4 linked regions of the Mytilus edulis genome follow. The protein of the gene in region 1 purifies or fractionates together with the protein of each later gene. This does not show direct contact. Links are inferred from orthologs where the notes say so. Each region holds a gene or a part of one and is shown on either strand. Other genes may lie near its edges.

The links.
Region 2: the proteins of DNA-directed RNA polymerases I, II, and III subunit RPABC3-like (region 1) and dynein axonemal assembly factor 10-like purify together in Homo sapiens (affinity purification with mass spectrometry; 3 studies listed by BioGRID and IntAct, with this or other methods). This does not show direct contact. The link is inferred for Mytilus edulis from reciprocal best matches to the Homo sapiens genes POLR2H and DNAAF10.
Region 3: the proteins of DNA-directed RNA polymerases I, II, and III subunit RPABC3-like (region 1) and DNA-directed RNA polymerase III subunit RPC2-like purify together in Homo sapiens (affinity purification with mass spectrometry; 5 studies listed by BioGRID and IntAct, with this or other methods). This does not show direct contact. The link is inferred for Mytilus edulis from reciprocal best matches to the Homo sapiens genes POLR2H and POLR3B.
Region 4: the proteins of DNA-directed RNA polymerases I, II, and III subunit RPABC3-like (region 1) and DNA-directed RNA polymerase III subunit RPC8-like purify together in Homo sapiens (affinity purification with mass spectrometry; 5 studies listed by BioGRID and IntAct, with this or other methods). This does not show direct contact. The link is inferred for Mytilus edulis from reciprocal best matches to the Homo sapiens genes POLR2H and POLR3H.

Annotation. Positions count from the first base shown.
Region 1 is NC_092348.1:81,823,383-81,831,243, forward strand, and holds the start of DNA-directed RNA polymerases I, II, and III subunit RPABC3-like, read left to right. Parts: upstream 1-4,858; 5' UTR 4,859-5,074; coding exon 5,075-5,147; intron 5,148-7,783; coding exon 7,784-7,861. UniProt on the Homo sapiens protein: DNA-dependent RNA polymerase catalyzes the transcription of DNA into RNA using the four ribonucleoside triphosphates as substrates.
Region 2 is NC_092346.1:9,760,867-9,768,647, reverse strand, and holds the start of dynein axonemal assembly factor 10-like, read left to right. Parts: upstream 1-4,756; coding exon 4,757-4,930; intron 4,931-7,269; coding exon 7,270-7,370; intron 7,371-7,691; coding exon 7,692-7,781. Other genes in the region: ribosomal RNA processing protein 36 homolog, read right to left, coding at 931-1,008, 1,453-1,513, 2,069-2,084, 2,824-3,066. UniProt on the Homo sapiens protein: Key assembly factor specifically required for the stability of axonemal dynein heavy chains in cytoplasm.
Region 3 is NC_092353.1:3,000,245-3,007,927, reverse strand, and holds the start of DNA-directed RNA polymerase III subunit RPC2-like, read right to left. Parts: upstream 3,005-7,683; 5' UTR 2,923-3,004; coding exon 2,872-2,922; intron 1-2,871. UniProt on the Homo sapiens protein: Catalytic core component of RNA polymerase III (Pol III), a DNA-dependent RNA polymerase which synthesizes small non-coding RNAs using the four ribonucleoside triphosphates as substrates.
Region 4 is NC_092352.1:85,911,504-85,918,602, reverse strand, and holds the start of DNA-directed RNA polymerase III subunit RPC8-like, read left to right. Parts: upstream 1-4,074; 5' UTR 4,075-4,201; intron 4,202-4,763; exon of another isoform or gene 4,764-4,875; intron 4,876-7,099.

The sequences.
Region 1 (7,861 bases):
TGTCTAAACCACACCGGCAAAATTTGCTCGGACTCGATGGTATCTAACATCCGGCACAATGACGGAACACCAATAGACAAAATAAAGGTAGGTTTCTCCTTATTTTTTTATTTTTTTTATGATATCGAAGAATATATATACATATACAACTATTTTCTATTGTGAAATACAATATTTTCTACAACCGTTCTATATTAACGGAGAAATAAGTCAAAATGCATGTCAAAATGACGAATTGAGTGAACCTTGCCTCGAAATTGTTTAATTTCTCGTTAAATTGTTCACATTGTACGGAAAGAAAGGTACGGGAAGATAGATATTGACACGGAGATTGCAAATTTAGTTATTATGAGCATCTCAATAATTGTGTTTCTGTGTATGGAACGAAAGAAAAGGGCCATATCAAATTAAAATAAACCGGTTTCGTCAATGTTGTTACTTCACAATCACCCGGTTTCGTCTATATATATCACCCGGTTTTTTTTTGTTTTTTTTTAACAAACAATTTATGAAAAGAGACTTTGGCACGGATCGGAACATTGTCTTTCGAGAATTTAAATATATATTTATTGTAAAGTAAACTTGGCGTGTTAAAATCTATTTTAAACGGGAACTTTTGGACATAGTTAATTATGATAATACACATTTTCCTAATGAAAGGCGTATCCCTTATTTCACTTGACTTCAAACTAATTTTAAAAGGAATATAAATACTGCACTGGTATCTAATTATTTTGTAACATTATTATATTTTCTTTGTTTATAATAGTAGTATGTAAAGATGAAAAATAAAAGGATGTGTTTTGATTGTGCCATAATTTTAATTTACTATACTAGTACTATATTATATACACTTAGTTTACAATATTTACTATCAATTATTTATACATTTATGCATTCAATCATTGACGAACAGTCCCAAACCGACTATAGTCTATGCTGTTCTGCACAAATTAATCATGCATGCAGTCCTGCCAGATTTTCTGGTACTATATATACTGTGTTACTTGCGCACTAAAGCGAGTTTTCACACTCAAGCATCCATAACATTCCTTTTCTGGTAGGCACATTTATTTTCATAGGCATGTTTTTCACATTATTTTTACAGTTCAAATTCATTTTTTGTACAGTTCAAATTCAATTGAAACTTTAAGATAACTTTCGAAAACAATATCTGACAGTTTTGTATTTTCAATGTGAATAAAAGTTGATTTGCAAAACACGATCGTCATTTATATCTAGGTCTTATTAAGAAGAAGTGACGGTAACCACTTATCCCATAAACATTGACAATGAGACAACTTTCTTTTAGACACAAAAATTATGTTGAATTAATCAAGTTTAGGTCAGCGTATGCCTTAAACAATGAGAAAAACACACAAACTGCATGAAAGCAAGCTACAACAGGGCCCTATATTATAAATGTAAAACAATTCAAACAAGAAAACTACCTGCCTATTTTATGTTCAAAACGCATATGGTATAAAGCAACCAAAGACACCCATGGAATTACAAGCGTGTGATTCGGGAATGGACTGAGTCAAAGTGTTGTCGCTGACACAACCAGTACAACAAAAGTACAAATAATAAAAAATGATGAAAAACCTTAACTCGTCCGATGACAGAGCCTGTATAGTAAATGCGCGATGTGTGCCGAAACTTGTATCGTAGTTAAAATTATCCCTTAAATATAATAAATATACATGTATTCGCAGTTTACTATGAAGTCCACTATCACTGAACTAGTATAAATATTTATTAAGGGGCCAGCTAAAGTACGCCACCGGACGCGGGAGTTTCTCGCTTCATTGAAGACCCATTGTGGCCTTCGGCTGTTTTCTGCTCTATGGTCGGGTTGTTGTCGCTTGGAATTTGTATGAACTTTTCATGTTGATAGACATTTTAAAATAATCTGTTGTTTTTTATTATTTCAGATGACAGAAAACGTTACAATTGAGGCATTAGATGAGTCATTTCATGAACTTATCAATGAAAACTCATCAGCTGTTTCAACTGCAATCAACAGGACCGATGATCAAAATGTGTTTGTTTGCTGTTTTTGTGGGAAAAAATTAAAAACAATAAGTGGCCACAGACGTCATGAAAAAGGTCACTCTGACACTGAGTAAATTAAAATATTTGTGTTCTATAAGAGTAGGAATTCAAGTTTTTGCTTATCATTTATTTGAATCTGAGACTCATATAAATAATAAGCCGTTGTCCGGTGAACGAACATTGTTTTCCAACGACCCACAAAACTCCTTTTGAACGCTGAAGTTTAATTATCAATTAAAATGTAATGCGATTATGATTTTTTTTATTTGACCAAACCGGGTTATGCATTTTGAAATCTATGACGAAACCGGGTTGTATACATTGACGAAACCGGCCAGTTCCATTTTGACATGACCCATTTCTTTCGTTCCATACACAGAGATACAATTATGGAGATGCTCATAATAACTAAATTTGCAATCTCCGTGTCAATATCTATCTTCCCGTACCTTTCTTTCCGTACAATGTGAACAATTTAACGAGAAATTAAACAATTTCGAGGCAAGGTTCACTCAATTCGTCATTTTGACATGCATTTTGACTTATTTCTCCGTTAATATAGAACGGTTGTAGAAAATATTGCATCTCACAATAGAAAATAGTTGTATATGTATATTTATTCTTCGATATCATAAAAAAAATAAAAAAATAAGGAGAAACCTACCTTTATTTTGTCTATTGGTGTTCCGTCATTGTGCCGGATGTTAGATACCATCGAGTCCGAGCAAATTTTGCCGGTGTGGTTTAGACACAGTGTAATATAACTAGGAGCATATGATAAGATAAATACAAGAACATGTGGTATTTTTGACAATGAGACAACTCTCCACCAAATGACGTAAATATTAACCACTATATATATGTCACCGTAGGGCCTTCAACTATGGGCAAAACCAAACGGTCCCGATATGACAAGTTTAAAGCAATTCAAAGGAGAAATCTAATATGACAAGTTTTCATAGCTGTATATAACAAAAGCATATTTACAAATTAGGTATATTTTAACTCAATAATAACCAAATCAATGTTAAATCCTTCAAAGATCTTATACAGTGATCGATAAAACGATAACCTTTAAGGATAAGTGTATTCATAGAACCAATGAGTTAACGTAGATCGTTTCAGTTCGCGGGCTCTAATTATACAACATTCACGTAAAAATGAGGGGGCGATATCCCGCCTTGTAAAAGGGTTTTTACATTGTACAGCTTAAATTCCAAATACGGATCATTTTAACAAATGTAATTGAATATTTACATTGTAAGAAGGGGCAAAGTACCATCCACGCTTGATTAACCCTCATGAGATGTCCATGCAAGTAATCACATAATGAAAACTGCCAATCAAAACATAAAATTATTTACAAAGATAATCAAATAATCAAAAACCGTCCTAGATTATCAAATAAATAATCATGACTGAAATATTTGGTCTGGTTATCACATAATCACTAAAACAAGCCAACTTATCACATAATAAAAAAAAAACATGAAAAGGCTCATGCATCTACGTGACGAAACAAGATACCACTATACGTATGTACACTCATTGCTCAAAGTTCGAATAGTAAGCCGTAGTGCCAGTCAGCCGTGCAAATATCACTGCTTAATTAATTGGTCCAGGTCAAATGTGTTTTTGGAACTCTAATGGATAGTATATAAGAGGGGGAGGACAGGGGGTACCCTTCTCCCTTCTCCCACCCCTCTTCTCCTTTCTCCTACCCCCGTTCTCCTTTCTCCCATTAGAATAAAACATCTCCTTTTGAGATATTTTTTCTTGAAATATTAGAAAAATTTTTAAGAGGAGAGATATTTTATTTTTTCTCCTTTCTCCAACTTTTTCTCCTTTCTCCCAGCCTTCCTCTCCTTTCTCCTACCTCCTTTCTCCAACTTTTTCTCCTTTCTCCCAGCCTTCCTCTCCTTTCTCCTACCCCCTTTCTCCTTTCTCCCACCCCGTTTCTCCTTTCTCCTACCCCCTTTCTCCCTGTCTCCCTTACCCCTGTCCTCCCCCTCATATAAGGCCCATATGGTTAAATAATTTACTAGTATAATTTATGTCCAGTTCAATATAAGCTACAACAATCCATCGACTTATATGCAAAGGTTAAAATGCCTATTGTCTCAGTTTTATTACAAGACTACAGGAAAATTCCTTGTTCTGAAAAAAAATTCATGTATGCATTGTTTTATTTGAAGTTATGGTAAACAAACACAGGACCAATTCTCCGTTCAAGAATTTAAATGGGAATGTTTTGCTACTAGAGGTCTCGAGTGTCATTATTTAACTATTCAAATATTCATTATAAAAAATTGAAATGGAATAAAGGACTGTCTAAGAAATGAAATTTAGAAAGGACTGATTTTCCTAACACACCTATGATGTCATGATAGTTACCATAACTAAGGAAATCAAATTTCTATGTTTCAATATATTTTTCACAGTTCTGATCACTTCTTCATTTCCAGAAAACTTTTGATATGAATTTGGAAATTGTCATATTGAAATATTTGCCACTGGATGCTAAGCAGCCAATAATAAAATTCCGCCAATTAAATCAAAGTTTTTTAAAAATGATCATATTTTATCTTGAGAGAAAATGTATTATTTTCCCAGCTATAAGCTTTGCTAACTTTAGTGTATTAATCAGTTAATAGATTTGACAAGAATTAAAAACGTAACATCATTCGCGCTTGACCATCGTTATTTCTGCGCACATTACATCAGACCCCCATACGTCGCCCCGAAAATTATCAAAAAGTGGGCGTGTCACGTAGTGTGAACTCTTTAATAATGAAAGTAGGAAAAATGTATTTCAATTGCCACTTCCGGTTTCAATTAGCATGATTAGCAAACATTAAACGTTAATTTTGATTAAATAAGAACAATATAAGCCCTATAATTTGTATTTTGGTATTCTTGAACATCTACTCTAACACTGGAAATATCCTGTTTTGCGAAGAAAAACGATCTTTGGACAAGAAAGGAAATAAAGTTTGACTGCTAATTTTGTCGTCAAACAATGGCTGGAGTTTTGTTTGAAGATATTTTTGATGTGAAAGACATTGATCCTGATGGGAAAAAGTTCGACAGAGGTAAGCCAAATAAAATACTATTTTTCAAATATTTTTTTACTTGTCACTAAGGTTGAATGCTGTCCAAACGTGTTCAATCTCATTTACCGGCAAATGACATTCCAAGATGGCGTCTGCCGGGTGAAACGTGACATTTTCCTTTAGATTCCAACAATATTTGGAAATTAGCCAAGGTGATAATTTAGCTGAAGCTATAAGCAATGTTTTCTTTTCTTAATTTCTTCGAAAAAAAACTTCAGAAATTTGGTTCATACGTTGGAATTCCAGCATGTACCCGGTCTTTTGACAACATGTTTGTTCATGTCAGACCATTCTCATGTGATTGGCTTGTCACATTAAAAGAAGTACAAAACCCCCTGCCGACTGTTAGTACTTCATTCTGGCACAATCAAGAGAAGAGATTGGTACTGTTAATGTTACTGAAGATCTGTAAATATCAGAAATTGACATGATTTTATCACTTAAACCTCAACTAAAGATGCAAACTGATGTATGCTTTGGAGATCATTTAGAAGTAGACTGTGGACCCAGGACTTGTGACCTCACACCAGTACAAGTAAGGCTTTGAATTATGTGTTTTAATTTGGTGTCTTGGAAATTTCTTTCTATACATGAAATTGCACTTATTATTTCATGCAAAAAGATAAAAAAAAAAAAACCATGATAAATGATGATTGATATTGCAGTGAAATAATATGATCAATGTTATCTGCTATTGATTTAAAGTTGATCTGATTAACAGGCTGGAACATGATAGTAACCACCCCTTTTGATCAATCACTTGACAATAGTATTGTATTGTCATTACTATATATACTGCATAACTTCAATTACAATATAAATTGTAGCATATTAGAGTATTTGTCTTGTCCTCTGTTTTTTAATCTTAACACATAATCTTTTTTTGCCATCACTGACATTTTTCTGACAGAAGCCACATGTTGGATCTTGCACTGGTTGCCTAGGAAAGGGAATACACATTACTTACCTGTATGTTACCTGTGGGTTGACAAGTTCATTCACCTCTCATATTTACCATTACTCTATTATATATTTTATTACACCTCAACAAACTCTTCTTAATTTATTTGTAATATTTTATTAAACAATTGTTAATTCACTCTTGATTATTTATGTGAAGTGAATGTTCTACAAAAACACATTACCATACATTTGTATGTTACTATGTATAAGGGTTTTTTTTTTTGAAAGAGGGCATTATTGAAGAGTGGCATCATTCTTGTCTTTTACCTAATAATTTAATGGGACTTTTAAGGTTTGCCCCTTCTGACTTTTGTAGGGTACATACTTATCAACAGTTATCAAGAATACTCTATAAACAAGACTATAGCAATATGGTATTTGGTATGTGTACATACATGTACATGTATACCAAAGTTGTGCAGAGCATCAGCAATTTATTTTTTGTTAAATAAAAAAAAACTTGAAAAATAAAGGAAATCTTATAGACAAGTATGTATGCCTGAGTCTCTATTTTATTAACTGCATATATTTTAGTTAATTATTACTAGAAGATCATTTTGTGCAATTCAACTTATAAAAAGGGAATGGTTCTTCATTTGCTCTACTTAAAATAAATTAAATTTGAGGAAAATAAACCATTCTTTCCCTCTATATTTTTTTAACCAAGCAGAAATATGTGAAAAGGGAAAAGAAAAATGATATCAAAAGACATGCATGTTGAGTTTTCTTTGCGGTAATTTCTTTGATTACTGTATCAATAGTTACCTGAAGATAATAACAGTAAAGTCAAGAAGTACACAATCTACAATCAAAACATGACAAGGTTACTGGCATGCACTGATATTTGATCTTTCTTCCTTAGATCATCTGCTCTCATTAGAAGAGCTGTTGTAACTGATTAGAAAAATCATGTCTCATTACAAAGCATTAAACCAGATATTTTATTTAGCAATCCATAATTATTGATTTCAATATGGATGAATACAACTTATATTTTACACCTAGTACATGTATTTTGCACAGTGATTTGATTAATTTTATTTTCTGCTAAACCTTGCATGGTCTTCCTTTTCACCATGTTACTCATCAGTGCCATGGTTGTTTGTTTAATATATCTTCTTGTCATTTAGGAAATTTGGTATCAGAAGATTCTTGAATCATGGAAAATTGCATTAGAGCTTAAAATGTTTTTAAACATTTGTTGTGATTTGTGGAAGGTCAAATTTTGAACTTTAGATTTCACTTATTTTGATGTGTTGTTGTTTTATCATCTCATAGATATATACCCTCAGCAGCAGATCTAGAACTTTTTTAAAGGGGAGACCCACTGACATGATTCAGTGATTCCCTATGTAAACAACCAAATAACATTTGTTATATATTCCACACAAGTTATCATATTTCAGTAATCCTATTAGTGTTTCTTTTGTTTATCTTGGATAAGAGTGTTTTTGGAGTTATTATATGTCTTATATAATTCACAGCACTTATAGAAAAGAGAAAATATTTCACTGGCAACTATTCAAATTTATGAAGTATGAAAATAAATTATATCTTAAAGAGATGTCAGATTCTTCTTTATTATAGTTTGTTTTAATTTTTAAAGTTTTTGTCCTGATGACAATGTGTATAATGATTTATCTTTATTTCAGTATCCAGATTATTTTGTGAGTCAGAATCTTTCAAGATGGACTTGATTCTTGATGTGAACACTCAAATTTATCCTGTTG
Region 2 (7,781 bases), on another chromosome or scaffold:
GGAAGCTTTAGTAGAACAGTTCATGCGTAAATGCACGGACACGACTGGAAACGCCATTTTACGATCTTTCAAGAACCATAACTCCTGAACGGTAAAAGTCAAAATCGTCATTATTGAACTAGACCTCTATTTTGTCACCAGTAACAACATATTAAAATTTGAAAAGCTTTGATTGAATGGTTCATGCGTAAATGCACGGACACGACTGGAAACACCATTTTTCAATCTTTCAAGAACCATAACTCCTGAACGGTAAAAGTCAAAATCGTCATTATTGAACTTGACCTCCATTTTGTCATCAGTAACAACATATTACAATTTGGGAAGCTTTGGTAGAACAGTTCATGCGTAAATGCACGGACATGACTGAAAACTCCATTTTTCAATCTTTCAAGAACCATAACTCCTGAACGGTAAAAGTCAAAATCGTCATTATTGAACTTGACCTCTATTTTGTCACCAGTAACAACATATTAAAATTTTAAAAGCTTTGGTTGAATTGTTCATGCGTAAATGCACAGACACGACTGAAAACTCCATTTTTCAATCTTTCAAGAACCATAACTCCTGAACTGTAAGAGTCAAAATCGCCATTATTGAACTTGACCTTCATTTAGTTGTCAGTAACAACATATTAAAATTTTAAAAGCTTTGGTTGATTGGTTCATGAGTTCATGCACGGACAACATTTGATTGCCGCCCGCCCGACCGACCGCCCGGCGTATTTTCCCAAATCAATAACCGACATTTTTGTCACAAAAATCCAGTTAAAAATCAAAAGTTATGATGCACATGGAGTGATTCATTTTGTTCACTTCACATTTGAGGTGTCCTGTGTATTTACAAAATTTAATAATTGCACCAATAAGGAAGGAATATATTTACTGCCTTTTTCAATTTAATGAGTTTTTAGCTATTGGATAGTGTTACCTGTTCTTATTTTCTCTTTTAAAAACTCTTTTAGAGGTAGGCTTCTTCACTTTATCTCCATGTACTACTTGGTTATATCTGAAAATATTCACATTGTGTAAAAAAAAAAAATAACATTGATATTTTACAATTTATTTGGATTTTGTCAATTCCAATCAGCCCACAGTTGGAGTGGGTACACTTTTATATGGTTCAATTTTCTAGACCTATTTCATTTTAAAATCATTCAACTTGAATACACAGATACAATACATTTGAATATGAGTTAAGCTTTATCAATATCATTACAAAATTCAAGGTTAAAGGCCACAGTGAACATGAGTTGGCATGAGTATATTTCAGCTTTGTTACGCTGATGATTTGAGCATCACCACGAACAGAAAATCACAAATCCAGGAATTTTTAAGTTCTTGACATTTTCATAAAAAATTTGAACTGAAGATTTTTTTACACTTTACAAATGCGTTAAAGTTCAAGTACAAGGAGACTTTTTGTTATCTCAATGAAGAATAATATACTTACACTTTTAAACCAAGCCTCTCTTTCAACTGTATTAGTTCTTCAAAAGACATATTTGATAATTCTGAAACCAAATTGTATATCCTATAAATTAATTTGAAAGTATATCACTCTTCTTACCCATCATTGGCATTTAAATTTGGTGTGGAATGTTTTTGATGAAAGTTAATCCAGAAGACTGCTTCAGGCCACCAAATTTATGAAATGTTATTTTCATTTTTCAGCACAACTTTGATACAGCTGCTGGTGGTTAGTTCTCAAGAATATTATTAGCTCAATAGTCATTGTTTTGCAATTGACATAGTTTATTATACATTTCTTAAAACTGTCAGTGTGGTTGACAAATTTAGAAATTATACAGAATCTTCTGTTCCAACTCCTTGAGTCAAAGCTAACCATACATGTATATGGTTTTTATTAGTCTTTTTAGGTTCGAAGCATTTTATGCATCTTTTTCGTTAATAGCATTCTGAGGAAGGCAATTACAGAAAAGTCTTCCATACATCAAACTAATAAATTTAAAATGTAATTTTCATTTCCTGCCTAGATGCCTTTTGGATATTTTTGTTGTTTGGTTGCTGTCTAACTGATGCCTTATATATATATATATGTAACTTACCTTGCTTAACTGTTACCTAAAAACAAAAAATAAAAACAATAACTATTGATTTGATAATGAATGCAATTCCTTGAGAAGACATATTATTTTGGGACCATATGTTGTTTGTTTTGGTTTTGTCTTTGTTTGTACATATAAAATGACCTCTAATTTGTTTTTTCTTAGGTGTTAATGTTACTGTAATCTGTTGTTCTGTCCATTAGGCTTGAAGCTTCCTGTTGATTTTTTTTTTATACTTTAATATTATACATGTAGTACAATTCAAAAGTTTTGTACAAAATATAATTTCTTTTTGTGTCTATCTTTAGAGTAATTGAACAATGACAGTTTGTCTTGTGCAAGTTGTGTGGCGACATTCTTATTTATTTAAAGATAACTGGGAATTATACCTAGCAGTATTCACTTGTTTTAACTCTACCACTTCAGGTCTTGGTTCACTTATAGAATTTCAATGTACATTAAGGCCAGTTTGTGAAATGTATATAGTTTATTGAATAAGATTTCTCCTAAACTCTGAGGCAAACAATATTTTTATTAACTCCTTTCAAACAAATATCTGTGAGAAGTGATTTTAACTAGTAGAAGAAATCACAAATCCTAACAAGTTGTTATTTTATATAATGTCTAAAAATAGCAAAAATCAACATTCAATCTATTTAAGCGTGGATCAGTTTGTGAAAATAAACTATATATATATATACATTGTATAGTAAAGTTGTACAAATGTTTAACTTATGCAACTTATTAATTCTTACTAATTCATCAGCTTCAGCCTCTTGTGCATCTGAACCTTCAGATTCAGATTCTTCAACGGTACTTTCCTCAGATGTTGTATCTGACTCTTCAACCTGCTCTTTCTTCCTCATCATATGTAACTCATCGACTGGACTTTTGGGTAATTTCGACATCTTATTCTTTTTTGCATTATTTACTGAATATGAAGCAGTTGTGTCTAATGTAGATTTTCTTTTCTTGGAAACTGATATAGTGCTAGACATTCTCTTCTATAATTACAATTTCTGCAACAACAAAATTATTTCAAGTTGGATTACTAACACATCTATTTTCATGATTTTATCATGTTTACGTTTATGAAATAATAAGTTTATTGTATGTTCCTTTAATTATTCATGAACTGTTAATTCAATGCTTTAACCTCTTTTTGAAAGAAAATAAATCATTTACGGATATACATGTTTATATCTTTGATTTTTTACTGAGTGTGATAAAGTTTTATTTCCGTGCATAATTTTTTGCCTTTTTATTTCGTGTGCTTATGTGTTTCGATGTTTTATTTATCATTTCCCCCATATTTGGTTCGATGTGCATGCTTCCTTTTTCCCCCTTGTTTGTTTTTTGTGTTTTATGTCTGTACTTATTATTTCTCTGGCTTGTCATGCATTTAATTCAAAGGTAAACCAGAATAATTTAAGTCGACCAGATATGGTATACATGTATTTACGGTATATATGTATATACATGTACTGTATGCAGTAAAGTTTTTTTTTATGTGTTCAAAATTTTATTTCATTCTTATTGCATTGATTGTTTTTATGTTTTTAAACACCTCTCTTAACTGCATTGATTGTTTTATGTTAAGCGCTTAGAGTAATTTTAATTAGATAATGTGCTATATAAATATTGTAAATTAAAGTACATAAAATTACAATGAATCACATTTTTTTTTCCTAAATCTAATACAACTAACAGATGGTAAAAGGCAACCACAAGGTCTTCATTTCTATTAATAATGACTGCATGATCTCCATGAACAGCTGAGTTACATAACTTCTAGCACTATTTTCATTAATATTTATTATTTTATTTCTGGTGCTTATAGCTTTTCCTGATTTTTGTTTTCAATGCAAGTCATTTTTGCAAATTTTATTCCACATGGATCTGTATTCAGAACCATGCACCCTCCCCCCCCCCCCCCCCCCCCCCCCCCCCATCTTTACTTATAGATGGATTTGGTAAAAAAATCAAATTCCTGATGACGAAAGCAACTGAAAGCGAATAGGGTGAACAACAGGGGGACTAGATTTAAGTTTTTACCCTTGGGCAATAACAGGCGCACTAGATTTCCCTTTTGACAAGTCAGCAAAGCTAAGTGACAGACAGGAAAGAGACCTTTTTTGCCCAAGTTGCCTGTCTGGTGGAGGTAAATTTGACAAAATAATACAGGTCAAGAAATCCACTATATAAAGCAAAATAAACATGCACTAATAACTTTTATGTTCTCAACAGGTAGCACCTGCTTCATGTCATTTCTGCTTGCCACTAGCTCTAGCCACTAGGCATAACAAAAATTTATTCCAGCTGCACATGTTTGTTTGTTGACAATATCACTATACAAATCCTTGACAATATCAAATTATTACTAAATCAGTGAATAGTCATGATAGTGTGATGGGGTTTGTAATCACTCTGTCAGAAAATTATCTATCTACATAATATTAAAGTGAGAAATGTTAAAATATCTACTTAAGTGTCATAACAAAGGCAAAGTATCGAGTTAACTGACTTTAGCAGCACCTGTTTTTATTTATAGAGCTCTTCTGCAATAAGGTAGGAAAGTTTCACTTCCGGTTAAAGTTCGCGAAAGAAAAAGAAATTTCATGTTGCTACAAGATTGGGTTTAATCGAATTTCTACAAGTTTTCTTATTTTAAAAGTGTTTTAAAACAAAATGGAGAAGCCACAGATTATTTCCCATGTACAGAAACCAGTAAATTACACATTATTTGATACAAAATGGATTCCGTGTAGCGCAAAATTTATTGTACTCGGTAACCATGCACGCGGAACTGGAGCATTTCAGGTTTATGAAGTACAACATGGTGATGTCAAACTAGTTCATGATGTAAGTAAGAACAAATTTCCCAACTATCTGTTTCTTGTAGTAATGTATGTTGTCTACAACAGGTTAGTCTAAATCTGTTAAATTGGAAAATTAAAGTTGAACCTTATCGCTATCTGTTTGACGAATCCATGACAAATCTCCCACTGGTAAATCCCCCAACACCTAATCGCCTTACTTTTTCACGAAAACCACCCACTTAAAAAAATCGACCCAAACTGGATTACCAAATTGCCCCATTTTTTTTTTTAAATCACCCCACTTGTGAAATAGGTTTAATTCCGTTAATATAACTACTGCCAACTCGCCCCACTTAATGAAAAACGGTAATATTTAGATTCACTTATAATTTTTTATCTGCCAAATCGACCCACTTACATTTTTGTAAATATGAGACTAATCTACACAGAATACAAAAATAAGGAAACTTATTTAATTATAATTATTGACTAGAAATGGGCACATTAAAAAGGGTAAAATCCCATTGAAAATAGGTTGGATAACTTACCCCACTTATGTAAAGGGTTAAAATATCTTTGAAATACGGTCTGGCACCTCGCTCCATTCATCATGTTCATGACAAATAAATAAAACACAATGAATTTAGCAATGCCAACTCCCCCCACTTATGACTACAAACTAGCCCAACATATGAATAAAATAATAAAACTGTAAAGAGTGTAGGTTTTCCAATTCATCCCACTTATGAGAACGTTTGAAATGCATTTTTTTTTCTTTTGCATGGTAAAAATTAAACAGAAAGAAGGTAGAATCAGCATTTATGTGACATTTTTTTCCCTGGTAAATATATTCATTTTTTTATAAAATAAGTCAAGAATCATCTGTGTTTAAATAATTTTATTCTCAGATGATAGGTTTGCACATCTACAAAAGTATAAAATAAAATTGAGAAAGGAAATGGTGAATATGTCAAAGCGACAACCACCCGACCATAGAGCAAACAACAGCCGAAGGCAACCAATGGGTCTTCAATGTAGCGAGAATTCCCGCACCCGTAGGTGTCCTTCAGCTGGCCCCTAAAATATGCATAATAGTACAGTGATAATGGACGTCATACTAAACTCCGAATTATACACAAGAAACTAAAAATTAAAATCATACAAGACTAACAAAGGCCAGAGGCTCCTGACTTGGGACAGGCGCAAAATTGCGGCGGGGTTAAACATGTTTATGAGATCTCAACCCTCCCCCTATACCTCTAGCCAATGTAGAAAAGTAAAAGAATAACAATACGCACATTAAAATTCAGTTCAAGAGAAGTCTGAGTCTGATGTCAAAAGATGTAACAAAAGAAAATAAATAAAATGACAATAATACATAAATAACAACAGACTACTAGCAGTTAACTGACATGCCAGCTCCAGACCTCAATTAAACTGATTGAAAGATTATGTCTTCATCATATGAATATCAGGTACAATCCCTCCCGTTAGGGGTTTAGTATCATACTATCATAAAATATATGAGAAGAACATAACCCGTGTCATGCCAACAACTGTTTTTTTAGAAATAAATGTGTTTAGTTCCATATGCATAACGTTTTTCATTAAGTGGGGCGAGTAGGCAGGAGTAATATTAACATTATTAACGGGATTTAACCCATTCACAAGTTGGCGATTTTTTAAAAAGAGGGGCGATTTGATAAACCAGTTTGGGGCGATTTCCTATATAATCAACCACAGTTTTTTCCATGAAAAGGGGGGCCCTGGATCCACCTATGTTATTTTTTGGTACATGTATATTCAAGTGGGTCCGTTCACTTCCAAAACATGTTCACACCTCACAGGTTTGCTCCTACCCATACCTCATGTACCTGCCAGGCCAACTGTCACTATTTGCTGGTGTTTTACCCCATGGAGGCGTATGCCTACCCACAATTTCCCATGCTGGTTTTCCAACCCCTGGTGTGAAAAGTCTAATATACATTGTACCTAAAACATGTACAAGCAAGGATCAGAATTTTATGTGTTGGTTTTGATTATATGTGGTCTAATTTCATTTTCATATAATAGTTTTAATTAAATTTGACCTGTCACTCAGTCTAAAAAGTAAATGGAAATTTTGTTCATTTAAATAGTCATTTAAAGATGAAATACATGTAGATTTTATTTTGATAATTTTGCTATTTGGTAGTAATCATGTTTTTTTTTCTCTCAAGTAAACTGAACAATACATTTATTCCATTATATCCAGACAGATAAACCTTTGTACAATGTATTATAATATAAAATCTTGTGATACTCTCATTAAATGCATTACAAAAAACATACATGTACATTTTATATATATATATGAATCTGCTATATAATTTTTATTAACAGATTGAGAAATCAAAAGCTTTGAAATGTGGAACATTTGGAGCATCAAGTTTACAGCAAAGATATTTTGCAACAGGAGACTTCGATGGAAAAATGCAGATATGGTTTGTAAATTAAATATTTTTAATGTATTACAAATTACAGATAATCTTATTTGCTATAAGAAAAAAAATACAATGTCCCTAACATGCCTAAGGCCTATTCAAGATTAAAGAATGCTGACTGGTTTGCTCATAGTTAGAATAATGTGTCAAGTCTTTCTGTGGACTTAAAATTAAGCATTTAATTTGTTGCTTGACCTAAACATCAATGTGTGAACATTTATCCTATACTACTTGTCCCTTGAAACATAAGACAAAAAAAACCCCAAAATCCTGATGGTGAATTTAGTATATCTGGTTTATATGTTTTATTGTTGTTTATAGGAACCTAGAGTCAATGGAATTACCTGTATATTCTGTGAAAGCCCACAAAGAAATTATAAATGCTATTGATGGAGTTGGTGGTTACATTGG
Region 3 (7,683 bases), on another chromosome or scaffold:
AGAAAAATCATTCTGAAAAAAAGTATACAGCTAGGAAACTCAGACATGTGACAGAGGTTGAATACAACATAAACATAAATTTATACAAATTATGATACACTGCCATCGCTTTTATTTCTCATCCTACAGTCAAATCATTCCTTCAATTGCAAATGTACTCAATGCAAGCACAGTACAGCATCCATTTTGCATTATAACGTTTTAAGTGTTACAAGAAAATATTTCACTGTTGCAAAGGCAGTCTGCACCAAAAACTTTTTCAACTACTAGTCCGAAGACCAATATTCTGACATTTTTCTTATTTGGCCAAACAAAGTTTTGCAAAAACTCACTAGTCCAAATGAAATTTTACTAGTCTGGGGCATCGGACTAGTGGCTAACCGTGCAGACTGCTGAAAGGTATTTATTTTCTGTGAAAAAGGTTTGAGCAGGACTTATTTATTTATTTCTATGAAATATCTTCATTCAAAACTAATATCACAGGGACTTATTTCCCTCTTTTTTCTTATTTTTACGAAGTCCCCAATTACGGTAGAAAAATCAATAAAAAAAAAAAATGAAAAAAAATCGGGAAAATTTCCCGAATTTTTCATTCTACTAATGAACTCAAAATCGTTAACTTTTTATTTCAGATCTAGTCCCTGTTCCGGTTTTCCCCGCATTTGCGCAGAAATCTGTCTTGTTTGCATGAGACTTTGAAAAGAAAATTATATGTGAGCCAGTCCATGTGAACAGGTACAAAAACGAAAAATTTACGAAATTCTAAAAAGTGTGCATAATTATTGGTAGTAGACTTGTGATTTATAAAACACATTTACTTTCCCTCATATCATCAAGCTGTGAGCTACACGCACCTGCGAGTGTTGAGACCCCCCCCCCCCTAGTTTTATCAAGATTTTTAGTGAATTATTTCATATATTTCAATCATTTTCAAAGTACAGTTTAAATGGCTTGATTTGCCAATTGATAATGTTAAACCTGGTAGCAGTGGGGATAAGGCTCTCGCTTACGATGCGGATAACAATGCAATCAAACCGGGCAACGGTTCGAATCCCGTGCAACTAAGGTTGATTTATATAATATTAAATAACTTAACTTAACTTAAATTTCAATTTCTAAAACACAAGATGTCATAGTTTTTGCATTTTCCCTCATGTTTTAATGTTGTCTTTCTTTCTTTAAACCTGTAGAACTGACGGAAATTATTGACTTTTGTCTCTGAAGTGTCATAATTTTTTGTAGTTTCTGGTCGGTATAGCATTAGTCCGGGGAACAAATGATTTTACACTTGCTCAAATACCAAAAATTCAGATATTTCTACGTCTTTTTCGGTTTTAGTTGACAAATTCGGGATAGAATTGACAATCTTATGAATGTTTACATTAATGTAATTTTTTTTCGGATAAAATCGTTTTTCAAAAATACTATAACAAACTTTGATAACGTGTCCTGTAAAGTTTACCAAAAGGACTTTTTGTACCTTTTCGCATGGACTGGCTCATGTATCAGTCTAGTAAAATATAAGATTGGAACTCAATACAATTTCATTTTAAATAATTGTTTGATTTGAAAAAAACGTTACCTGATGGAAGCGTTTCTTTTGTTTACATTGAATATGACGTCATAATTTAAACAACGTCACAGCTAAATCCCTAACCACAGAACCGAAATCGGGAACGTTACGGTATTTCCGTTTCCTTTATTAACATGTTTGAGGTAAGAAAATAATACATACAGACTTTGTCCACATTCACAGGTTATGCCTGCCTCATATTATGGGGACGAAGTCCCCAATTACGGTAGAAAAATCAATAAAAAAAAAAAAAAATCGGGAAAATTTCCCGAATTTTTCATTCTACTAATGAACTCAAAATCGTTAACTTTTTTTTGTCAGATCTACTTCCTGTTCAAGTTTTCTCCGCTTTTGCACAGATATCTGTCTTGTTTGCATGAGACTTTGAAAAAATTTATATTTATCAGTCTAGTAAAATATAAGATTGGATCTCAATACAAATTCAATTTTAATAATTGTTTGATATGAAAAAACGTTACCTGATGAACCATTTCTTTTGTTTACATCGAATATGACGTCATAACTTAAAGAACGTCACAGCTAATTCCCTAACAACAGAATCAAAATCGGGAACGTCTACGTACGGTATTTCGGTTTCTTTTATCAACGGGATTGAATTCAAAAAATTAATACATACAGACTTCTTCCCCATTCACAGGTTATGCCTGCCTCATATTATTGGAACAAAATTCATAGAGCTGTGATTTTTGTTCTGGAACTTGTAAACAACAAATGACTTATTTCACATTTGATAAAAAAATTAGTTCCAGAACAAGTTTCACAGTGCTTCTGTGATATAAATACTGGTGGAACATATTTCCTATGAAATTTGTTTCGGATGGAACAAATGTCTGACACGCCTGAACAAATATTTTGTCACACATGGATCCCCCTTTTTTTTCACTTTGGGCTCGTATGGATAGTAAAAATAGGTATTGTAATCGACTAGTAATGGATTGTTGAGACTTTATATATGTCGATACAGTGTAGATAACTTTTTTTAGTGAAAAAGAAAAGGGGGGTGCATGCCCCAAATATCTGTGTACTGAACTGGCTTTACATTGTCTCATGAGTTTTCGTTTATTTTACCAAATTGATTTTTCGGATGAAATGGATGTCTTGTCCCTTACCCTTTGAGTTCTTATTAGACTCCTTTGAGCCAAATTGTGGTCAAATGTCCTCCTTTTACTTCTAGCGGTGTTTTAATAATTTAGACTGTTAGAGGCCGGCTGCTGTCTTAGCTATAGCTTTTAAAACTATTATCAATATATCTAGACTACGCATGTTCTAAAACTTACCTCAACACTTTTGATAGGTGCTGAAAGATCTGTTTTGTCAGAGGACGACATATCTTTAATAAATAAGTTTATTTTCTCATATTTTACATTTCGTCATGGGCGCAGACATCTTTTTTTGATCTCCCTAACGAATGACCCACACTCGTCCTACTGCAATATCGTCCCAAAAGTTCACTCGCTTAATATCAACTGTCCCACTAATGTAAAAGACTTAAATCCCGCTATAAAATTCTCCGTGAATGAAAGACGGATATATCGGTTAAGTAATGAATGTGAGTAAAGTTCTGCTTAATAAAGGTAGGCTAACTTGCACCATTTATAAAACTACAGTAGATGCTCTAAAGAGCCTGTGTCGCTCACCTTGGTCTATGTGAATATTGAACAAGGGACACAGATGGATTCATGACAAAATTGTGTTTTGGTGATGTTGATGTGTTTATAGATCTTACTTTACTGAACATTATTGCTGCTTACAATTATCTGTATCTATAATGAACTTGGCCCTGTAGTAACAGTGGAAAATGTTAGTAACAATTTACAAATTTTAACGGAAAATTGTTAAAAATTGGCTATAAAGGCTGAATAACTACTTAGGGGGTCAATTGACCATTTTGGTCATATTTGACTTGTTTTGAGGTCTTTCTTTGCTGTACATTTTTGCTGTTTACAGTTTATCTCTATCTATAATAATATTCAAGATATAATAACCAAAAACGTCAAAACTTCCTTTAAATCACCAACCAGGGGCAACGGGTTGTCCGATTCATCTGAAAATTTCAGGGCAGATAGATCCTGACCTGATAAACAAATTTACCTGTGTCAGATTTGCCCTAAATGCTTTGGTTTTTGAGATATTAGCCAAAAACTGCATTTTACCCCATATGTTCTATTTTTAGCCATGGCGGCCATCTTGATTGGTTTGCCGGGTCACCGGACACATTTTTTTAAACTAGAAACCCCAATGATGATTGTGGCTAAGTTTGGTTAAATCTGGCTTAGTAGTTTCAGAGGAGAAGATTTTTGTAGAAGTTAACGACGACGGACGACGGACGCAAAGTGATGAGAAAAGCTCACTTGGTCCTTCGGGGTCTAGTTGAAGGTTTTGAATTCTCAAAGATCTTTAATATGCTGAATCTAATTATGTGTAAAGATTTCGAAATTTGAGCCCCGTTGTTAAATAACTGAGGCTCATTTGAATTTTGAATTATTGTGTATCTTTGATATATATGCCTTATCTAACCGTATATTTAGACTTTTGAATATTGGACCTGCTTTCAAATTGGTCCACATTAAGGCCCAAATGGTCCAAAGGGTTCCAAAGGGTCTGAAAATAAAACTTTGTTTGATTCTAACAAAAAAATTAATTCCTTAGAGCTGACTCTAACCGTGTCTATTGATTTTGGAATTTGGGCCCTGTTATCAAACTGGTAGACACTGAGCTCAAATGGGTGAAAATGAAACTCGGTTAGATTTCATAAAAAATATAATGAACTCTTTGGGTACTTTGATATGCTGAATCTCACTATGTATTACAAATAGAATAATAGGTAGTTTCGTTTTTGATACTGACTATATCATGTGGAATATCTAGACGAGCCCGTTAGGACCAATTACCGATAAATCGATATATCACTATTGCCCGCGTCACACTGTCCCGATTTTTATATACGATGGACACACGAATGCGAAAATTGTAAGTTCGTACGAAGTTGGTCCCGATCTCGTTAAAATACCAAAAAGTGACTGAAGCAAGTACGATGAATAACGAAGTCTGTACGATGGTGCCGAAATTATATACGATAGCAAAAGATGGACATACGAAGGTTAACCGAAGACGGGTATTTAAGCTTCATATCTCAGCCGAAGCCTACACGATGGATCACGAAGGCTACACGATGGATTACGAAGGCTACACGATGGATTACGATGATGGCGCGATGGCCATACGATGTCTAAAAGACGTCGTGTACAGCTTACAATGCATTTACGGCATCACGCGTTTTAAATTGTTTGATCAATATTGAATATATAAATATGCATATTCAATTTACCATTTTCTGTATGTGTCATATACAAATATAGTGTCCATATTTGTCCCCAATATGTTACATACGAGGGGATGCCACGCTCGGCATTGCCTTGTTTGAACTGTAAAATGTGTGCACTAGTCTGAATAATCACCCATAATTATGCCCATGTTTACTGATCTATCTTAAAGGTAAGGTAATGGGTTCGTTGATCCCTTTTATTCAAAAATAGCTCTTTCCAGGAGAATATCATAATAATATAGACAAAAGGGAGGATGTGGGGAAAGCAACAAATGCGGCAAAATGTGACATATAGAAACATAATGGTTATGGAGTAAACATTCTTGTGACAACAACTCAGTCGATACATAAAAAATCAGAATAATGAAGAAAAAGTTGGTTTCCCTATATACGTGTACCTGCAGTGTTGGTGTACGAGGCGCATTTATGATTTTCATTATGTTACTTGATATGAAAAATTGACAAAAAATAATATTTTACTTGTAAATCCTGAGCCTGTAACAGTTGCTCTTCTTGTTCCGTTTGAATTAATAGAAACAACGCCGCTGTCGACTTTCTTGTTCTCATAGTATCATATGATATGAGCTCCATGTTTTGTGAACGTCTTCCTTAACTGTCGTATTAGACTGACCAGTGCATATCGCGCATGGCACTTTAAATGTATTTTAGCGCAAAAATTAACTTACATTTAGCTGGATTTATTGCCGTCGTAGTTCCATCTTGTCGCCTTCGTACTTTTATTCGATGGCAACACGACGGGATTACGAGGTCTTCACGAAGTCGTGTTGCCATCGTAAGACCTTCGGGTAGCTTCGTGATTCATTCGTGTAGACATCGTAATGTCAAAACTGCCCGATGGAAACGATGGAAACACGAATGCAATACGATGTTCAAAGATGCATTCCCGGTGACATTACGATGGTGAGGATGGTGATACGAACTCAATACGAACCCTCAACATCGGACGCACCTTAGGGGATTTTTTAACATGTTAAAAAATTTAGAACCCTTCCCGAAGTTGTCCCCGAAGGCTAAAAAAAAGTGGCCGATGGTTCTACGATGGTTAAAGATGGCACTACGAATAGCCCGATCTGGATACGATCAGTCCCGATTTTGAAAATTTCCATAATCGTGTTGTCATCGGCGTAAAAATCGGGACAGTGTGACGCGGGCATATGTAAAAGCAAAAGTATTTGGTATTTTAAATTTTAATAGAATGCATGCATTGGAAGATTTATACGTTAATTCGAATATGAAAGTGAAATATGCGAGCTAATAATACGTGATTGAAGAGTCATTTTGTTGGGATGTCATTTTTAAGTCTAATTCCATAAAATGAATTTTTAACAATTTGTTGTGTCATACGGTGATCCTGGTATAAAGGAAGTTTTTGTTCAAGATCATAAAAAAATGGCCTAAAAAAATATCTAAATTCTTAGAATAGTGATTTTTTGACTTATTAAACAAGAAATTATTTACCTGTGTAGTGGTCTTCCATTCTTTTTCGATCTGTTGTTTATCCAGCTTAAATTCTCCAATAACAGCATTTGTTTGCCTTGTTTGTTTGACATAACTGTGACATATAGTATATGGACACTATAATTATTATTTCAACTTGAATATATTTTCTTTATATCATTTTCCAATAAAAAAAATAAAAAGATGTGGTGATGATTGTCAAGAAGAAACTTCATACCATAGACCCAATAACGTGGATGTTAACAATTATACGTCAACAATAAAATAATTCCGTATCGCAAAGCAGGGGCGGATCCAGCCATTTTAAAAAGGGGGTTTCTAACCCAGGACAAAAGGGCAAAAAAAAAGGGGGGGGTCCAACTACATACACCAATTCAAATGCATTGATCGTCCAAAAAAGGGGTTCTTACCCCCGAAACCCCCGGATCCGCCACTGCAAATTATCATTGTCGGTCATAAAAGCTCAGAGAGCTTATGTTTATTTGTTATGTAACATGCCGACTATAAATAAAGCTTTTGAATTGAAAAAAGTGAGCTATAAAAGGTGCCGAAATGACAAATGTAAAACAATTCAAACGAGAAAACTAACGCCGGTCTGATTTATGTACAAAACAAGAATGTGTCCATAGTACACGGATGCCCCACTCGCATTATCATTTTCTATGTTCAGTAGACCGTGAAATTGGGGTCAAAACTCGAATTTGAAGAAAAAAAACTTTAACCTGAAGCGAACGGACGAACGGACGCATAGACGGACGGAGGCACAGACCAGAAAACATAATGCCCCTCTACTATCGTAGGTGGGGCATAACAAGTAACAAATGAAAACCACTGAATAACAGACTCCTGACTCTAGACAGTCACATACAGAGTGTGGTGTAGTTTTTTGCTGATGCCATCTCTAATCCTGTAACCTCGGACAGTGATGTAACAACAGTTCGACATAAGGACGACATTTTGCGGAGTCATTTAATACCTATCCAACATTACTGTCCAATTTTGATCAGCGATTACATACGATCATAGTGTACGTACATTCTTCGTTTGATTTATTTATATGCCCAACTATGGTTATCATTTGATAAAAATTGGACTTGAAATTATCTTATCCTAATATTTTGAAAAATCCATATCAGACATTAGAGGTTCCGACAGGGTTAACACATCAACTTAACAATGAAAACCTTCGTTACAAGTTTACGTCGTACTCTGTAAAATAGTTTTACATATATCGTTCATTTGTTTACTTTATTGACAACACTGTAACCTGTACAAAATAGAATTT
Region 4 (7,099 bases), on another chromosome or scaffold:
AAATAGGCATCCTACTGCATCGGGTAAAATTATTCTTAGCTAGTTTGTATTTTTCTGTTATGTTCCTTAGCTTTTGGTCACAGTGTAGTTTAAGAACTATTGGTGGTCCCGTTCTGATTCTGCTCTTTACCATTCTCAATTTTATACAATATTTGTTGGCATTTAAATATTTGGTTTTATTGTTGTTACATATTGAAGGTATATCAAGAAAAGATGCTCTACAGTAGCATTTTTCTATTCGACAGCAAAAAAATTTTAAATTTTGGTCGTATATTGGTATCACGTTAGTGTCAGCTTCGCCATCGCAGTGTTAAGGAGGTAATCTAATTTAAAGTTAAAGAATACTGTTATAAATATGTTTGATTACTTGATTACCTCCCTTACAAAGCTTGAAAATTATGTATTAAGAAATGATGATTGTCTTGAGATGTATAGCTGTAAAATTTTTCTCATTTTAGATTTCAGAAATTAAAAAGACTTTTTCTTCAAATATTTTTTTGGGAGGGGATTAATATTCAACAGCACGAAAGCAAAACAAAAATTTTAAGTTCATTAGACCATATTCATTCTGTGTTAGAAACCTTTGCTGTGTCAACTATTTAATCACAATCCAAATTCAGAGCTGTATCAAGCTTGAATGTTGTGTCCATACTTGCTTTAACTGTTCAGTGTTTCACCTCTGCGGTAGTAAAAAGCTGCGCCCTCCGGAGCATCTGGTTATCAATTATTTTGAATAGAACTCAACAGAGGTAAAAACAAATAGATTTCATGGATATTGAATTTTTACAAAGAAATAAGTCTCAGCATATGAGCAATATGTGCTACTGGTAATTGTAATTAGATAACACTTAAAAAGATCAGCCATTAATAATTAATGTAGATTATAGCCAGTAGATTTAGAACCGATAAATGACAAGATCTGTGATAATCCTGGCATTCAATTTTAGCTGTTATTTGACAAAAAAAAACCTGCTGTTATCTTTGGAGGTAGTTCATTAGATTTGTATTCTTAATCAGAATGATTAATACATCATTCACTGAAAATTTGGTAGCACTGGTCTTTCCCATGTTATCAATTGACAGAAACATTTCCAAAATTTAAAAGAACCTGTGTGAGCATACTCACATACCCCACGCCCCCACATTGACAGAATCTCACTAGATTCATAAGTTCAAAGACTATCTTCTCCAAAAGTCAACTGATGAACATTTCTTGTGATAATTATCAACAAAGTTTTATGAAATTCTGTTGTGTATATTTACAGGAGTTGCGATGACAAACTGTTGCAGTAGTATATTTAGGCAAATAAGTGCAAAGGAAAAAAATTAACTCCTAATTTCTTGTCGATATGCATTTCTACATAGTATGTCCTTATTATCTATAGATAAATTTTCATGAAATTCGGTTGTATGGTTTCAGAGGCGATTTGATGACAAGAAAAGTACTGACAAACAGACAGCCAGACTGACTGGTCAAAAACAATATACTCGGACTCTAAAATTGTGTGGGGTATAATTATATCTTATTTGAATGACAGTAGTTCAAAGTTTATTTTGCAACTAGATATCATTTAGGTAATAACAACTGAGGGGAATCACCAAGGTGAAAATAAACATATATATATAATCAGACATCATGGTCAAAAGTGCGTAGAGGCTCTAAAGAGCCCATTTCGCTCTTCAGGATGAATGTACATTTTTAGTAATGTCAGAACATAATAACAGAATATAATCCCATGTATAAAGATCTCTATTTATTTATCTTGTATTGCTGATGACTTTTCTGTTTTTAGTTTCTATCTACTCTAGTTTTGCCAAACACATAAATAAAAGGGTAGACATCATTATTTATCGCAGTAACTTTTTTTTTTAAATGTTGAATTTTTCGACTTTGTTTGGACTGCTTGTACAGTAGGTCTAGTCTTTTGATCATTTTTGCTTTTCTATAATTTCTCTCCATCTTTATATATAACTATTGCTCAACACAGAAAGAGGGCTTACTCTTCATTTCAGGGCAGTAATAGATCATATGTATAAAAAAGAAGATGTGGTATGATTGCCAATGAGACAACTCCCTACAAGAGACAAAAACGACACAGAAATTAACAACTATGGCCTTCAACAATGAACAACACCCACACCGAATAGTCAGCTATAAAAGGCCCCGAAAAAACCATGTAAAAGCAATTCAAACGAGAAAACTAACAATGTGTCAATTTTGTCGTGTTGCTATATTTACAGATCTTGTTTTGCTGGTCATTTTAGCTGTTAGTTTATAGTCTCTCTTTATCGACTGCTTTTGGCTAAATGTACAAAATATAGGTAAACATAATCGCTTAGGGGTAACAACTTATTTATACAGTTGTCGACTGACAATTTGGAACATGTAGACACATGTAGATGTCTTGTTTTGCTGATAATAATCAAATGCGCTAAACAAAGTGGTAAAAATCGTCATTTATGTTGAGAAGTCGTCACGTCACAAAAAAAACCCAAAAAAAAAACCAAAAGATTACACAGCACTAGACAAAATCCAAATCCAAGATCATGTATCATTGATATTCCACAATGGCCAACCAAATCATGATTGCGTCTGTAAAACTTTCGAAGGGATAAATTCAACTAAACCACTGGGAACACATAATACAATTGCTTGACTATAAGCAGAAACCCTCTACCAAGAAAATGATAGGATACGCTAGATCTAGAATGTCTTCTCGACTTGGCAATATATACTCAATATACGTGAGGAACTGATTGATTGGTGTAACCAAGAAATTGAAAGATAACAATGGGAAAACTAAAGTTATATATTAAAATTCAGCATTATGGTTATGTCTGTTTCAGAGAAAAAAATCTCGAATCAGAGTATTTGTTCTCACAAAGTATTATTTGTTCCTTCCTTGTTAAAACAGATATGTGTTGGCCATTCTGTTTTATGAATCAGTTTTAATATTTCTTCAATCTGTCTTTATGTTATACATATAAAGAAGTAGTGTGTTGTCCCTAAATGATGATGTTCAAATGTATTTGATATTAATTAATTGTGCATCAAGAGAGGCATTTTCATTGAGTTCTCAGTATTCATATCTATATCACCACCTCAGAGCAGCCCGTTTCACATTAACTTTTTGTTTGCTGATAAAATGTAGAATAATAATTTGGGGAGAAATTTCTTGGAGCTTGATGTGACAGTACCAGCAGGTTGTTTGTAAGTTATTTTATTTTGATATTCCGGCCTTACAGTGAAAAAAGATCTATAGTTCTTCATTAATGATTGTAACAATTGTTACTTTTATTATAAAGATGTCAATGTAGGTTCCAATAAAAACGGTTTTGTCTTAGGTCGTTGTATGCAGGAGCAATTCAACTTGTCATGTTTGGATCTTTGAAGATATAGATGATATTCAAATTATTCAATATGAATAAAAAGAAAAATAATGTAAGTATTTTTGAGACGACATATAGTATACAGATTAATGTTAATTTCTAGTTGCGACCTTAACTGTCTTCATGTACAGTACATCGTCCCTACATATACCATTCAATCAGAGACATATAATACAAGAGATTCGCAACTATTGTATGATATGTCTCTGATATTATATAATAGAAATTTAAATTGTAGCCTTCTACCCATGCTAACCATTGAGAAAAAAAATATAATAGTAGATGTTTTTAATGATAAGGACTTATAAAACTTTCTAGTCAGTCTTGCAAAAGTAGCAGAACACCATGCCCCCGGCAGACATGCAGTCGACTGTTTTATTGAAATTGATTCATTTGAAAATTAAAACCTTTCAAACCTTTGAAATGTCTTATTAGTGTCCACCGTTTTTGTTTAGATAAGTTCAATGTCCAGGCAATTATTTTTGAGAACCTACAAATTGTATGAAAAAATATTCTAGTCTTTTTTATACAGTTTTGATCTTGAAATTTTATGTTGAGTTGCACAAAATTTACAAGAAAAGCTGGTATCTTACGCCTTTCTTCAATAAATTATTCCACCGTTAAGGCACAATAACGTACGTTTGTATTCGATAAGTCGTCGGACTTCGGCGTACGTCTATGCCAGAAGCAAGTCTTACCAAAATAAAACGAAAGTACAAAGTGAAACAAGAAACAATGTGGAGATCAACGTCGAGATGACGCTTATAGAAGACAGTTGATGTCAAATATGTGCTAAATATTTTATCTGAAGGTATAATTAATGATGATATTTGAAAAAAATAGGCAGGACAGGAGTTTTGAGTAAAAAAAAGGCAAATCAAATCAAATCAAATATATTTTATTGTCAATTAAAGACGCCCATTACAGGCAGAATAATCACAAGTTAAATTTGGTACAATGATTACAAAATGATTACAATTATTTGAGTACAATTAAATCAATGATTACAACGAAGAGAAAAGAAAGACACACTAATGTATATTTATAAAATGTGTGACACTTGCACAAAAAAAAAAGTCAGGACGACAATTTAGGTAAAAAAAGTCAGGATAAACTAAAAAAAAAAGAAGGCAGGACCGATTAGAGTGAAAAATAAAAAGGCAGGACAGAGATTACAGCTAAAAAAAAATGCAGGTCAAAATTTTTCATCCTAGCCCCCCCATATAAATCAAATGGTAGCTAGCTCCCTTATGACGTCTGGCAAGGCTATTTTTTTTCTTTCTGAGAGGCGTCCCAGAAAAAAAATTAAAATAGCCTTGCCAGACGTCATAATTATTTGTACTATATCTGCGCGTACCCACATCCGGTTTTATAATGAAATGTCATCAGATCGGGAATAAAATGTGAAATATATACAGAATTTGACGTAATTAGTGAATAAATTGACTAAAACTAATCAGAAGATTTGTAAATATTTATATATAGGTAAGTGAACAGTTTTTAGCTCACCTGGCCTAAAGGGGGTATCTTATTTAAAAAATGTGTCAGCTGACCCAGCCAACCAACCAAGATGCCAACCATGGCTAAAAATAGAACATAGGGGTAAAATGTAGATTTTGGCTTATAACTCTGAAACCTAAGATTTAGAGCAAATCTGACATGGGTTTAGATTGTTTATCAAGGCAACATCTATCTGCCCTGAAATTTTCAGATGAATCAGACAACCGGTTGTTGGGTTGCTGCCCCTAAATTGGTAATTTTAAGGAAATTTTGCCGGTTTTGGTTATTATCTTGAGTATTTTTGTAGATAGAGATAAACTGTAAACAGCAATAATGTTAAGCAAAGTAAGATCTACCAATAAGTCAACATGACCAAAATGGTCAGTTGACCCCTGAAGGAGTTATTGCCCTTTATAGTCAATTTTTAACAATTTTCATATTTGGTTAAATTTTGTAAATTTTTACAAAATATTTTCCTCTGTAACTAAAGGGCCAAGTTTATTATAGATAGAGAAAATTGTAAGTAGCAAGAATGTTCAGTAAAGTAGGATCTACAAACAAATCACCATCACCATCACCGAAACACAATTTTGTCATGAATCCATCTGTGTCCTTTGTTTAATAAGCACATAGACCAAGGTGAGCGACACTTAAGAGCCTCTAGTTATTTCAGTTAATAATTATTCATTTAAAAAATTGAAAAGAGTTATAAACATGTGGGTAGACATTCCATTGGTATCATGAATTAGAACAGTTGATTAATTTTATACAATTAAAGTTTAAGGGACGACATCAAAAGTTCAATGTAAGAGAAAAAACTTAATTCATATACCATAGTTTTTCTCTGACCACCTAACACCCCCCCCACCCCATTTAAACAAAACTTGCAGGAATTATAACCCCACCCCCAAACTATTTGAATTAAGTTTTTTATTTTCCATAGATTTTTTGATGTCGTCCCTAACAGAATACATTTTTCATGTAATGTCATGAATGTAATGGAGGCAAAAAATTCCAAACAAATTTGGTAGGAAAAAGGCCTAATACAAAGTATTTGTTTTAAAGTGCAGTATTAAATCGAATTTGCCACGTTTTATACATTAGTCACATCTGAGACTACTATGTGTTATAGTAGTCTCAGGTCAAGTTTTTTTTATGTCAAATACTTCTAGTTTTACTATTTTAAACCGTTCTTAATATAAAGGATATATGTATGCCTACTTTTAGTACATTTCAAATGGATTGTCCTTTCCACTTTAAACTTGGCATGACTAAAGATGGACAAAACCTGATTGCGAGGGAAGCAAAATGTTTATTTGAACATCTTCTGTTTTACATTTTACTAAAACATTTAAAAAAAATCTCATATGGGTATTTTTCAAATTCAGTAAAATTTAATTCTTTAAATTTGCATTTACATTTTATAATAGTATTCATTTTTATCAAGTTTTTTTTTTTACAGGGACTGTACAGTCTCATTTTCCATCAAAGGATGTGCATTTAATTTGCAATGTTTATTATGTATCATTATTAAATAAATACAATTTGAAAATATATTTTTTCATACTCTTCACTCTTTCTACACGAGATCCCCATATTATCGATAATGTCCGTTTATATTTCATGTTTCATTCTGGATCCGATGGCATGTTTTATAAAACAGGATGTGTCACTGTGTACCCGTAGCCTACGAATGGCAAGTTGACTATTCGTACCCAAATGTGGGTACGCGCAGACACTGCCTTTAATTATACCGAAAGAGACAACAGATATAAATGTTGGGGTTAATTAAATCAACTTTCGTTATATATGTGAAGAAAGACAACTATACTGTTTAGCGTTTGTTTCATGTGTATTCTGAATGCTTATAGGCTACATCCTGACTGGTGTCAAACCTTGATACATAAGGTACATATGAAAAATGTGACATGGCAACTACCACAGTATTCTCCAATCCTGTAGCTGCATTTGAAATTTTGCAATATATTGACGTTTGTGGTCAAATAGTTTCACTGGCAAATAGTTAAACGCTTGCACGTTGAAAATTAATCAATATATTGTGTACTGACTTTATATATAGGAAATGATAACTGAGGTACATGTATAATAAGGACATGTATGGTGCCAGGCAAGGATTTGTATTGGCCTTGGACGAAATTTATTAGGTCCCATCTTTTAGGAATATATTAGACTTGTTAACTAGTACATG